Caenorhabditis elegans: one gene and its partner. The protein of the gene in region 1 purifies or fractionates together with the protein of each later gene. This does not show direct contact. Each region holds a gene or a part of one and is shown on either strand. Other genes may lie near its edges. The genes, in order: mlc-3 and myo-1.

Evidence for each region.
Region 2: the proteins of mlc-3 (region 1) and myo-1 purify together in Caenorhabditis elegans (affinity purification with mass spectrometry; 2 studies listed by BioGRID, with this or other methods). This does not show direct contact.

The regions. Positions count from the first base shown.
Region 1 is NC_003281.10:5,563,059-5,567,787, reverse strand, and holds mlc-3 (Myosin, essential light chain), read right to left. Parts: upstream 2,764-4,729; 5' UTR 2,657-2,763; coding exon 2,638-2,656; intron 2,468-2,637; coding exon 2,256-2,467; coding exon of another isoform or gene 2,214-2,255; exon of another isoform or gene 1,972-2,213; intron 1,115-1,971; coding exon 931-1,114; intron 877-930; coding exon 830-876; 3' UTR 781-829; downstream 1-780. Other genes in the region: rpc-2 (DNA-directed RNA polymerase subunit beta), read right to left, coding at 3,109-3,282.
Region 2 is NC_003279.8:7,264,032-7,269,237, reverse strand, and holds the start of myo-1 (Myosin-1), read left to right. Parts: upstream 1-2,180; 5' UTR 2,181-2,302; coding exon 2,303-2,371; intron 2,372-2,951; coding exon 2,952-3,224; intron 3,225-3,601; coding exon 3,602-3,944; intron 3,945-3,996; coding exon 3,997-4,101; intron 4,102-4,153; coding exon 4,154-4,321; intron 4,322-4,368; coding exon 4,369-5,206. UniProt on the Caenorhabditis elegans protein: Muscle contraction.

The DNA of each region.
Region 1 (4,729 bases):
ATTCCAAGAGTTTCATTTCATTACAAAAATCAATATTTTGGGTCTTTAGTATATTTAAGTGGACAGTTTCGCTACTCTAACTTCAATTTGAAAGCTTTTAAGGTGAAATTGTTTCTTTTCACCAATTTTTAGGATTGAGTGATATTTTTTGAAAAACTATATTTAGGTGGTGATACAATAAAAAATAGTTGTCAGCTAACAATATATACGAAAAATTGTTTAAATAATTTGGCAATTTCTTATTTTTTGGAAGCTACCGTTCTTGCACAGTAGACGGAAAATAAATCAATTGATAAAAATCAAACTGGCAGTTTGTTTTTATCAGGTCATCGACTCAAAAGCTGATATTTCTAGCAGCCTTTCAACTTACTACATGTACTATACCAAAATTTCCATTTCATAATTATTCAAAAGGTTTTTTATTATAATCCAAAAAGGAGAACGAATATAAGAAACGAATGAATTTCTGAATAAAAAAGTGTAAAATGAAGAAAGAAAGAAAATTTCTTGATCATAGAAACAGGCTTGAATGTGTTGGAGAAAAAGAAGAGAAAACCGCGCGCTGATTTTTAAAGTGCAAAACGTTTTCTGGATCAGAAAACGGAATGCGCGCACGCGAGTGGAATCTCTTACGTGTATAGCGTAGAAGAAAACGAGCGACTAGACGATGGGTTTATAGACAAAAAAGTAAAACATCGTTATTTGGAACGGGGAGAAAGAAGGCAGAGAAGGGAAAGGGGAGCAAAAAATTTGGGTAAGAGAAGATGGTGTTTTTTTTTTCAAAATTTAAACATTATAATGGGTGTAGCACAGATTCAGATCCAAAAATTTAGTCCTGGTCTGGGAATGGTCCGGCCAAAACCTTCTTGATGAAATCTGAAATAAATTTCAATTAAAAAAAATTTCCGAGAAGAAAAAAAATCGGCTTACCCTCGTACTTGACCATGCCTTCTCCGTCTTCGACTCCCTTGAGGAGCTCATCGGCCTCATCGGCGGAAAGTCTCTCACCGAGAGCCAAGAGGATGTGTCTGAGCTCAGCGGCCAAGATCTTTCCAGTCTCCTCCTTGTCGAACACCTTGAGTCCCTCGTAGAAGTCAGCGTAGGTTCCTTGCTCCTGAAGAAATTGGAAATTTATATTGGAAAGAACAATTTTCTCAGTTTATAATCTCAATGTTAAATGAATGATGATCTGCTCTACATGCGGACCCTAAGGTAGGCATCTAACTCCAGTAAACATAAATCATTCCCTATTCAGGTGACAGTAACCTCGAACATCAGCTAATTCCATCCCGAAGCTCCAGAGAACTCTCTGATTTTCGCTTAGGATTCTATCCAAAATTCGTTAGACACTGACTTTCAGATTGTCAAATTTGAGTAGATATGTGCTCAGGTAAACTTCGCAGACTATTTAATAACGAAAGCGAAATGTGTTTCCCAAAATATCTGGCCAAACTTGCTATTTCAAACTTTATGAGTTGTCCAGTCTTCTGAGCTCAGTTCGTAGGTTTCTATTGGCTCTTCAAGATCTCCATGTGCTGTTTTGAATCTTTTCTAAGAAACTGGTTGCCTTAAAGCTTTCAAAATACTGACGGTTGTGGGTCCAGAGAATGCCCTAGTTGAATTCAATCAAAGATCTACAGGATTTTTTACCTTAAACCTCCACTAAATAGTCTGAGCTGGCAGCTCTTTCCAAAACTCAATAGCTCCTAGAAGCTTCATATATACTCACTCCATTCTTTTACCCGTATATGGGGATCCTTACTCAAGATCCCTTGCCTATTCCTTACTACTTCCTATCCATACAAATATCTACAACAAGGACCCAGTAGACGCAGAATGATGATGCTCTCTATTGTTACACTGTGCCTATGTGTGTGTTTGTGTGTGCCAAGAGAGATTCTCGAGAGTCCTATGTGCTCCTCTCCCACACATGCTTCACGGGAGCCGCCGCCGCCTATCTCTCTAAAGTTCTAGGGATCGGCTGGCATGTGCCGGTGGAAGAGGATGTTCAGATTTTTCAGACCCTTAGTTGTGATTTAAAAGTTTTCGGCTAGGGGTACTGTATGGGGTTAACCTCTGAGATCCAATATTTACTTAGACCTTGAAATAAAACAAATCTCAAGCTTCATCTTCTTTGTTTGATTATCACTCGGTGCGGGAGTTAAAGGTTTGGCGCGAGGCCCCTAGATCCCTAAATCTCAAAAAACTCTCAGCTAAAGGTTAAAGGCACAGGCAAGATGTTTAAAATACCGTACCTTCTCCTTGGCGAGTTGCTCGTACATCGGGAGCCACTCCTCGAATGTAAGTCTCTTCTCTCCCTTACGCTTGAACTCCTGTCCGGCGGCCTTTGTCACCATAGCCTGAGTTGGCTTAAGTCCGGCGGCGCGGGCGACATCTCCGACTTGGGTTCCGTCGATCTTGCCGTCAAGCTCCTCATCGTAGAGGTTGAAGATCTCCTTGAGCACGTCTAGAACGATTTCAAGTTTGAAAAAATGTTTGGGATTGTAGGGATATATTTGGGGAATTGGATATATTTTTGAAACATTAAAAAAAAACTAAAAATAAAATGTTTTAGAAGTCCTAAAACCTTATAAGGTATCCCTAAGAGCTGGGGACATTGCTTAAAAAATTACTCACCTTGGGATGGTGGAGCCATTATGTGATGATGTGTGAGTGTTGCAGCGGCGGCAGAGCAGGGGGGACTGAGTGTGGAAACTGAGTGAAGGCGACAGAGCAGTGGCAACCCAAGTGTAAACTGTGTGTGACTCTTCGTAGAGGATGGGGGCGGATTGGGGCGGATATTGAGCTCCCGCACTCCCGCGCGAGTACACTATTTCACCCCTCGGGAGCCCGAGAGATAGAGAGAGGGATGTAATGCTCAAGAGATAGAGTGGCGAGATGTGGGATGTGAGAGCGAGAAAGCGCGGCGTACTGTTTCAACAAGTATTTTCTAGAAAATTTTCATGATAAGTTTAAGAATGAATGTATGACAAAAAAAACAACAAAAAATGTTCAAATTTCGGGGAACAAGTAAAAAATAGATTAAAAAATGATTTGGGAAGGGGAAAGAAGAAGCATAACAACAACAACAACAATTACAAAACAAGGTTATTCGGTGTATCTGGCCAAGTCCAGCCTCGGGACAATGTTCATGGATTGAAGTTCCTGGAAGAGCAGCTTACACGCATACGGAATCTTAATGTTCGCCATTGACTTGCTCGAACGACACTTTTGGCACCAACCCTTCGAGCCGATTACTCCGCATCCAGTGCACACGTCGACCTGGAAAACAAGAAATTTATTAAGTTACATTGGAAATCTATTATACTCTCATCGAATCGTTTTTTTATACAAACTGAGTTTTAAGGAGTACCAAATTATCCTATAAAATATTTAAGCATGCGTCTTTTAACTTTTTTATGTTAAAAATCCATACTTGTGTTTTTTAATATCGACACATTATTATAAGGCTCAACAAGTATCCATTACTTTTGCATTAAAACGCTTGCCTGCCTGACCTTAAGGCAACCTCCGCCTGCCTCTCGCCTCAGTCCGCGAATTCTGCTAAACCATTTTGTTTCTCTGTTTACGGAATAGGTCTACAGTACCCCAATGCTCGAAATGTTAATTTATTTTATTTCCTCCCTCTTCAATAATTAATAAGATCTTTGTGTTTTAACACATCTTCACAAGTTCATTTTTCCCGTGTTGGCTGCCGAACTCGATTAATTCGTTGTAAACGTATGTTTCTCTATTCTCCCTTTCAATATCTTTATTTTCTTTCTCTATCCTCCCCGCGTGCCACTTCAATCGCACATTTTCTCGGCATTCCACTCCTAGGAGCACAGCCGACGGGAAGAAAAAGCACAGGCACCCACTGTGGAGATATCTCTTCCTTCTTATTCCTCCTTCTTCTGTTCTCTCTTCTGCCAATGCTTTTACTCAATGACGAGAGATGCGGAGATCAGTGGAGTCCACAGACTTCGGGGTGGAAGATATAGTGAAATGGCAATCAAGGAGAGATCAGCGAGACATCTCTCCACGAAGATCACACTATTCACCAGGCATCTCGCATCGGGGCAAAAATCTCATCTTTTCTTCTTCTTCTTCGATGACTATTTTGTGGGCAAAAAAAAACGAAAAGTAGGAAGGAAGAAGCGAATCAAGACGAGAGCTCCGAAGGTTTCCTGGAGGGATCTTAATGTGAGGTTCACTTCCAAGTCTTTAGATCTCTGATTCTTGTTTGCCACCTGGGACAGGTGCAGAAAATATTATTTTCGGTACGACTGTACTAAGAAAAGGCGGTTTTAGTAAAAAATGTTCTCAAAAACTCCGAAATATCGCTGAATTGTGAGAGATTTTTTTTATTTGGGAATGGATCTTGCTCGAATAGCACCGAAAATTTGATTTTTTTTAACTTCCGAGCAACAGAGATTCAGAGCCATTAAAATAGAAAGTTTTGCTTTTTTTAAAAAGTTTTTAGGGAAAATGCTTTTTTTAAAATCGATTTCTCTGTTCTTATAAAAAAGTGGGAGTTCAAAAAAAAATTAATAATCGGTTTCCGACCTTTTTTTTCGATATTTTCAGATAAAAGTCGGGAAATGTATTCTCTCATGATCAAACAAAATCCATAATTTTCTCTGCGGTAAATCAAAAATTTTCAAGAACCTTTCCAAAAAACGTCAACCCAGTTTCCAAGAAAAGTCGACCCGCAAAGTCAACCCACGCA
Region 2 (5,206 bases), on another chromosome or scaffold:
ACTCATTGTTCTGATTGTATTATTTCTATGGAAATAAATGAAACATTTTTCCCCAGCTGACTACGAGCTTAATTTTTCGTTTCAGTATTTGGAAACAAACTTGAGAACATAAAGTCATTTTATTAATAGGTTGATAACTGTATGTAGTAGAAAATAGTAAATTGACAGCATATTGAGCGCAGTCATTAAACAGTGGCATTCTCTGGTAAAGGTTAAAGTGGGAATAGACTCAAAAAGGTCTTAAACTAACTAATTTCATTATTCTTTAAAAAATATCGAAAATGTTGGGAATATTTTTGCCATCAGAATCCTTTTTGCATATATATTTATTGTAATTTTTTAATTAACTTATCCTTTGAATTTTTTAAGAAAAAATTCTGAAACAACATTTTCTAGTAGATCAGCAATACTTACAAGGAAAAAGAATGGTACATGTCACAGAAATCTTAGAAATTTCGAGAGTCTTCTTAAAAGTTTTTAGAAACTTTAATTTTTTATTTCAATTTGCTGAGAAACAAACTAATTCAACTTTTCGTGTTTCCAGACTGTTAACTAGGAGAAAATGATTTCAATTCTTGGTCGATGTACATACTTGATCGGTGTTCCCGTGTTCACTTTGAATTTCAGGGGGTGGCCCCGAGAACAAAGATGAATAAGAGGAGCGAAAATCTCAAAAAGAAACAGACACACACACATTTACGCACACACATACAAATACTGTGTGAGAGATATAGATGGGGGAGAAATTGGGCAAATATTACTATTAGAAAAACGAGAAAAATTCGAAGAAAAGGCGAGCGGAGGATGCGCAGAAGTATCCGAGTGTGGGATGGGGGAGCAAAGACATGGCACAAAAAAGTCGAGAGATTCGGTGAAACTTCCTTCACCAATGCCACTTGGTCTCTCATCATTATTACAACACATTTTTGGAGAGAATGGATATGAAAGTTAGGTTAAGCTACAAAAAAAACGTTATTTGCAACAGTTAAAAAAACAGGTTTCTCAAACAATCTATAACTAATAATCTGAAAAGTTAATTCCTAGCTGGGAGACTAATATCTGATCAGCACATAATATGTCCAGAGAGATCTTCGCAGCAGTGATATTGTGGCACACATCCCCAACGAAGTCGGCCACAATGTGCCAAACGCGCCTCGCAGTGAGTGCATTGCGGATGCTCGTTTTCGTGAAACACATATCGTACCGGTCCTCAATCGAAATGAGTATGCGCACATCGCGAATGAACTATGCGAATACAAAATAGTGATTTTTAAATGAAAACGTTAAGGTTGAATATCATGGTTTGACAAAAAAAATAAATACTTATAAAATTGCTTGAGGTATTAAGGTACACTATATTGAATATTATTTGGCAGCACAGTTTCTATATAACATTTTCTCATGTTAAATTTTTTGATGGATTTCTGAATTTTAATGTAGACAAATGTTTTCAACGACAAAGCATCCAACTTTGAATGTACTTCAAAGAACACGATGGAAGCAAAAATATTTTTTTAAACTCAAAACGTCGCTTTTTTTAAAATTTTTCTAAATAATTGTGTCCAAATCCGATTTAGATCTATTATTATTATTCGGATTTCTTACACAGTATTCATTAATGTTCTAATAGTGTTGTTTCTAATAATAAAATAAGACCAGTTTGCTGGTCCAGGTTACTGAAATCACTGATTCCAATTTTTTATACAAATATAAGTAAACTAAGAATGAATCCCTTAATTTTTTTTCTACATTTTTTTATCTACTCCCACAAGTTCCAAGCGCTTACTCTCAAAAATCTCTTACGTATGTCTCTATCCAATAATAATGTGTGCTCAAAAAAGCGCGGGCTCATTCCGAAAGAACCCCCTCCTCTGATTTTTTCAACAAGTTCTACAGTAATCTCTTCGTTTCTCAATTTAACATACTCTTTCGATGAACCTGAAAGATAAAGTACTTGGACTGGCGACGCAAAAGCTCAAAACGTATGGACAATGCACATCCAAGAGACGTTTGATGCTCTCGGCAACAGTTCATTGTGTGGATATCGGAGAGCCCCCTTTCTTGCGCACGGGCGCTAAGCAAGAGAGGAAGATGAGGGGGAGTTTGAGTTGCTCCGCCCTATGAAGTGTGCCGAGTGAAGCTCTCTCTTGTGTGTGCCAAACTATTATCCGTCCCTGCAGAGCACAGTAGTGTGGAGCTGTGTGCAGTGCAGCAGTAGGAAGAAAAAGAAGAAGTCACCCACCTGTTTAGCCTCATTTTTCAATTAGCCGTTCGTTTTAATTTCCACTGAAACAAATCAAGAATGTCGCTCGAACACGAGAAGGACCCAGGATGGCAGTACCTGAAAAGGTCGAGAGAGCAACAGCTCGCGGTAAGATTTTACTTCTTTCATTTTACTTTCTACTTTTTCCTAGGTTTACATTCGACGTATTTTTTCTCCTCATAAATCCTAATCTTCTCAAATTCCAAAATATTCGAAATTTATCTGAAGTCGCTGCTTTTTATACACTTCTAATAACGAATTGTTCCTTCAGTTTTGAACCTAATAAAATACCGTATTTTCCCAATTTGTCCTTCTCTCGACAAATAATATTTCATCTATTTTGAGTATAGAAACAATTCAATTTAATTTTCCAACTAGAACAAGATTCAATCTTTATTTTACTTGTTGAATATGTTCTGATAAACTTTAAAATGAAACTTTTTCAATTACAATAGAGTTATTTTAAAGTGGTTAAGTGAGCATTTTTACAGCAAAATATTAAAAATTGTTTCTTGGCTACTTTTTTAAACATATTTTCAAGGTTCAATCTCTTAAAATTCTTACCGGTTTTTCGGTAGATCGTTATTTTTAAAGCTTCTAAACTTCACCGTTTTGATATTTAGGATAATAATTATTTTATAACTATGTATGAATATAAATTAATTTTTATATTTTTTTTATTTTACAGGATCAATCCCGCCCATACGATTCGAAGAAGAACGTCTGGATTCCAGATGCCGAAGAAGGATACATTGAGGGAGTTATTAAGGGTCCAGGACCAAAGGCCGATACTGTTATCGTTACCGCCGGAGGCAAAGATGTAACTTTGAAGAAGGATATCGTTCAAGAAGTCAATCCACCAAAGTTCGAGAAAACCGAAGACATGTCCAACTTGACTTTCCTTAATGACGCCTCCGTTCTGTGGAATTTGCGTTCCCGTTACGCTGCTATGCTTATCTATGTAAGTTTTTTCAGTTTCAAAAAACTTCAAATAGAAACACGGAAAAAAGATCTGCGAAAATGCGTAGTTGGATAGGCAAATAGTGCGCCCACGCAAAAGTGGCAAAATGCTATCTTAAGTGGATCGAGACAGACGATGAGAAACAAAGAGAGTCATGCTCAATGTGCACAGTGAGTAAAGAGAAAATTTATATTGGAATTTTGGACTGAAATTGGAATGGTACTAAAAATATGTGATTCAACAAAGGCAGTATTGAGAATATAAAAATATCGTTCCAAAAAATAACTAAATTTGAATACTACTGAAATTTAAAGAAGTAAGTTCTATAAAAATGGGATATTGACTGAAACAAAATGTTCCAATTTGCCCATTTTCAGACCTACTCTGGACTTTTCTGCGTTGTCATCAACCCATACAAACGTCTCCCAATTTACACTGACTCTGTTGCTCGTATGTTCATGGGCAAGCGTCGTACCGAGATGCCACCTCATTTGTTCGCTGTCTCTGATCAAGCCTACCGTTACATGCTTCAAGACCATGAGAATCAGTCTATGCTTATTACCGGAGAATCTGGAGCCGGAAAGACTGAAAACACAAAGAAGGTTATTTGCTACTTTGCCACCGTCGGAGCTTCACAAAAGGCTGCTTTGAAGGAGGGAGAGAAGGAAGTTACCCTTGAAGACCAGATCGTTCAAACCAATCCAGTATTGGAAGCTTTCGGTACAGACATAAATTAAAAAATTAACACTTGTCTGATAATTTGGTTGTTTAGGTAACGCCAAGACTGTCCGTAACAACAATTCTTCCCGTTTCGGAAAGTTCATCCGTATTCACTTCAACAAGCACGGAACTCTTGCTTCCTGCGATATTGAACACTGTAAGTTGATAATAATGATAAGAAGTTATTACGAAAATCGTAAATTGTTCAGATCTTCTCGAGAAATCTCGTGTCATCCGTCAAGCTCCAGGAGAGCGTTGTTACCATATCTTCTACCAAATCTACTCAGATTTTAAGCCACAACTCCGTGACGAGCTTCTTCTCAACCATCCAATTTCCAACTATTGGTTTGTTGCTCAAGCTGAGTTGCTCATTGATGGTATGTTTTGTATTTCTGGAGAATGAGATTAACTTGTTTTATTCCAGGAATCGATGACACTGAGGAGTTCCAATTGACCGACGAGGCCTTTGATGTTCTCAAATTCTCGCCCACCGAGAAGATGGATTGTTATAGACTCATGTCGGCTCACATGCACATGGGTAACATGAAATTCAAGCAACGCCCACGTGAGGAGCAAGCCGAGCCAGATGGCCAAGATGAAGCTGAGAGAGCTTGTAACATGTACGGAATTGATGTCGATCAATTCCTTAAGGCTTTGGTGTCTCCAAGAGTCAAGGTCGGAACCGAATGGGTATCCAAGGGACAGAACGTTGATCAAGTTCACTGGGCTATTGGAGCCATGGCTAAGGGGTTATACGCTCGTGTCTTCCACTGGCTTGTCAAGAAATGTAATCTTACTCTTGATCAAAAGGGAATTGATCGTGATTATTTCATCGGAGTACTCGATATTGCTGGATTCGAAATCTTCGACTTCAATTCCTTCGAACAGCTCTGGATTAACTTCGTCAACGAAAAACTCCAACAATTCTTCAACCATCACATGTTCGTTCTTGAGCAGGAAGAGTACGCCCGTGAAGGAATCCAATGGACATTCATTGATTTCGGACTTGATCTCCAAGCTTGTATCGAGCTTATTGAGAAGCCACTCGGTATCATCTCTATGCTTGATGAGGAGTGTATTGTTCCAAAGGCTACTGACATGACTCTTGCCCAGAAGCTTACCGATCAACATCTTGGAAAGCATCCAAACTTCGAAAAGCCAAAACCACCAAAGGGAAAGCAAGGAGAGGCTCACTTCGCCATGCGGCATTACGCCGGAACTGTCCGTTACAACGTGTTGAACTGGCTCGAGAAGAACAAGGA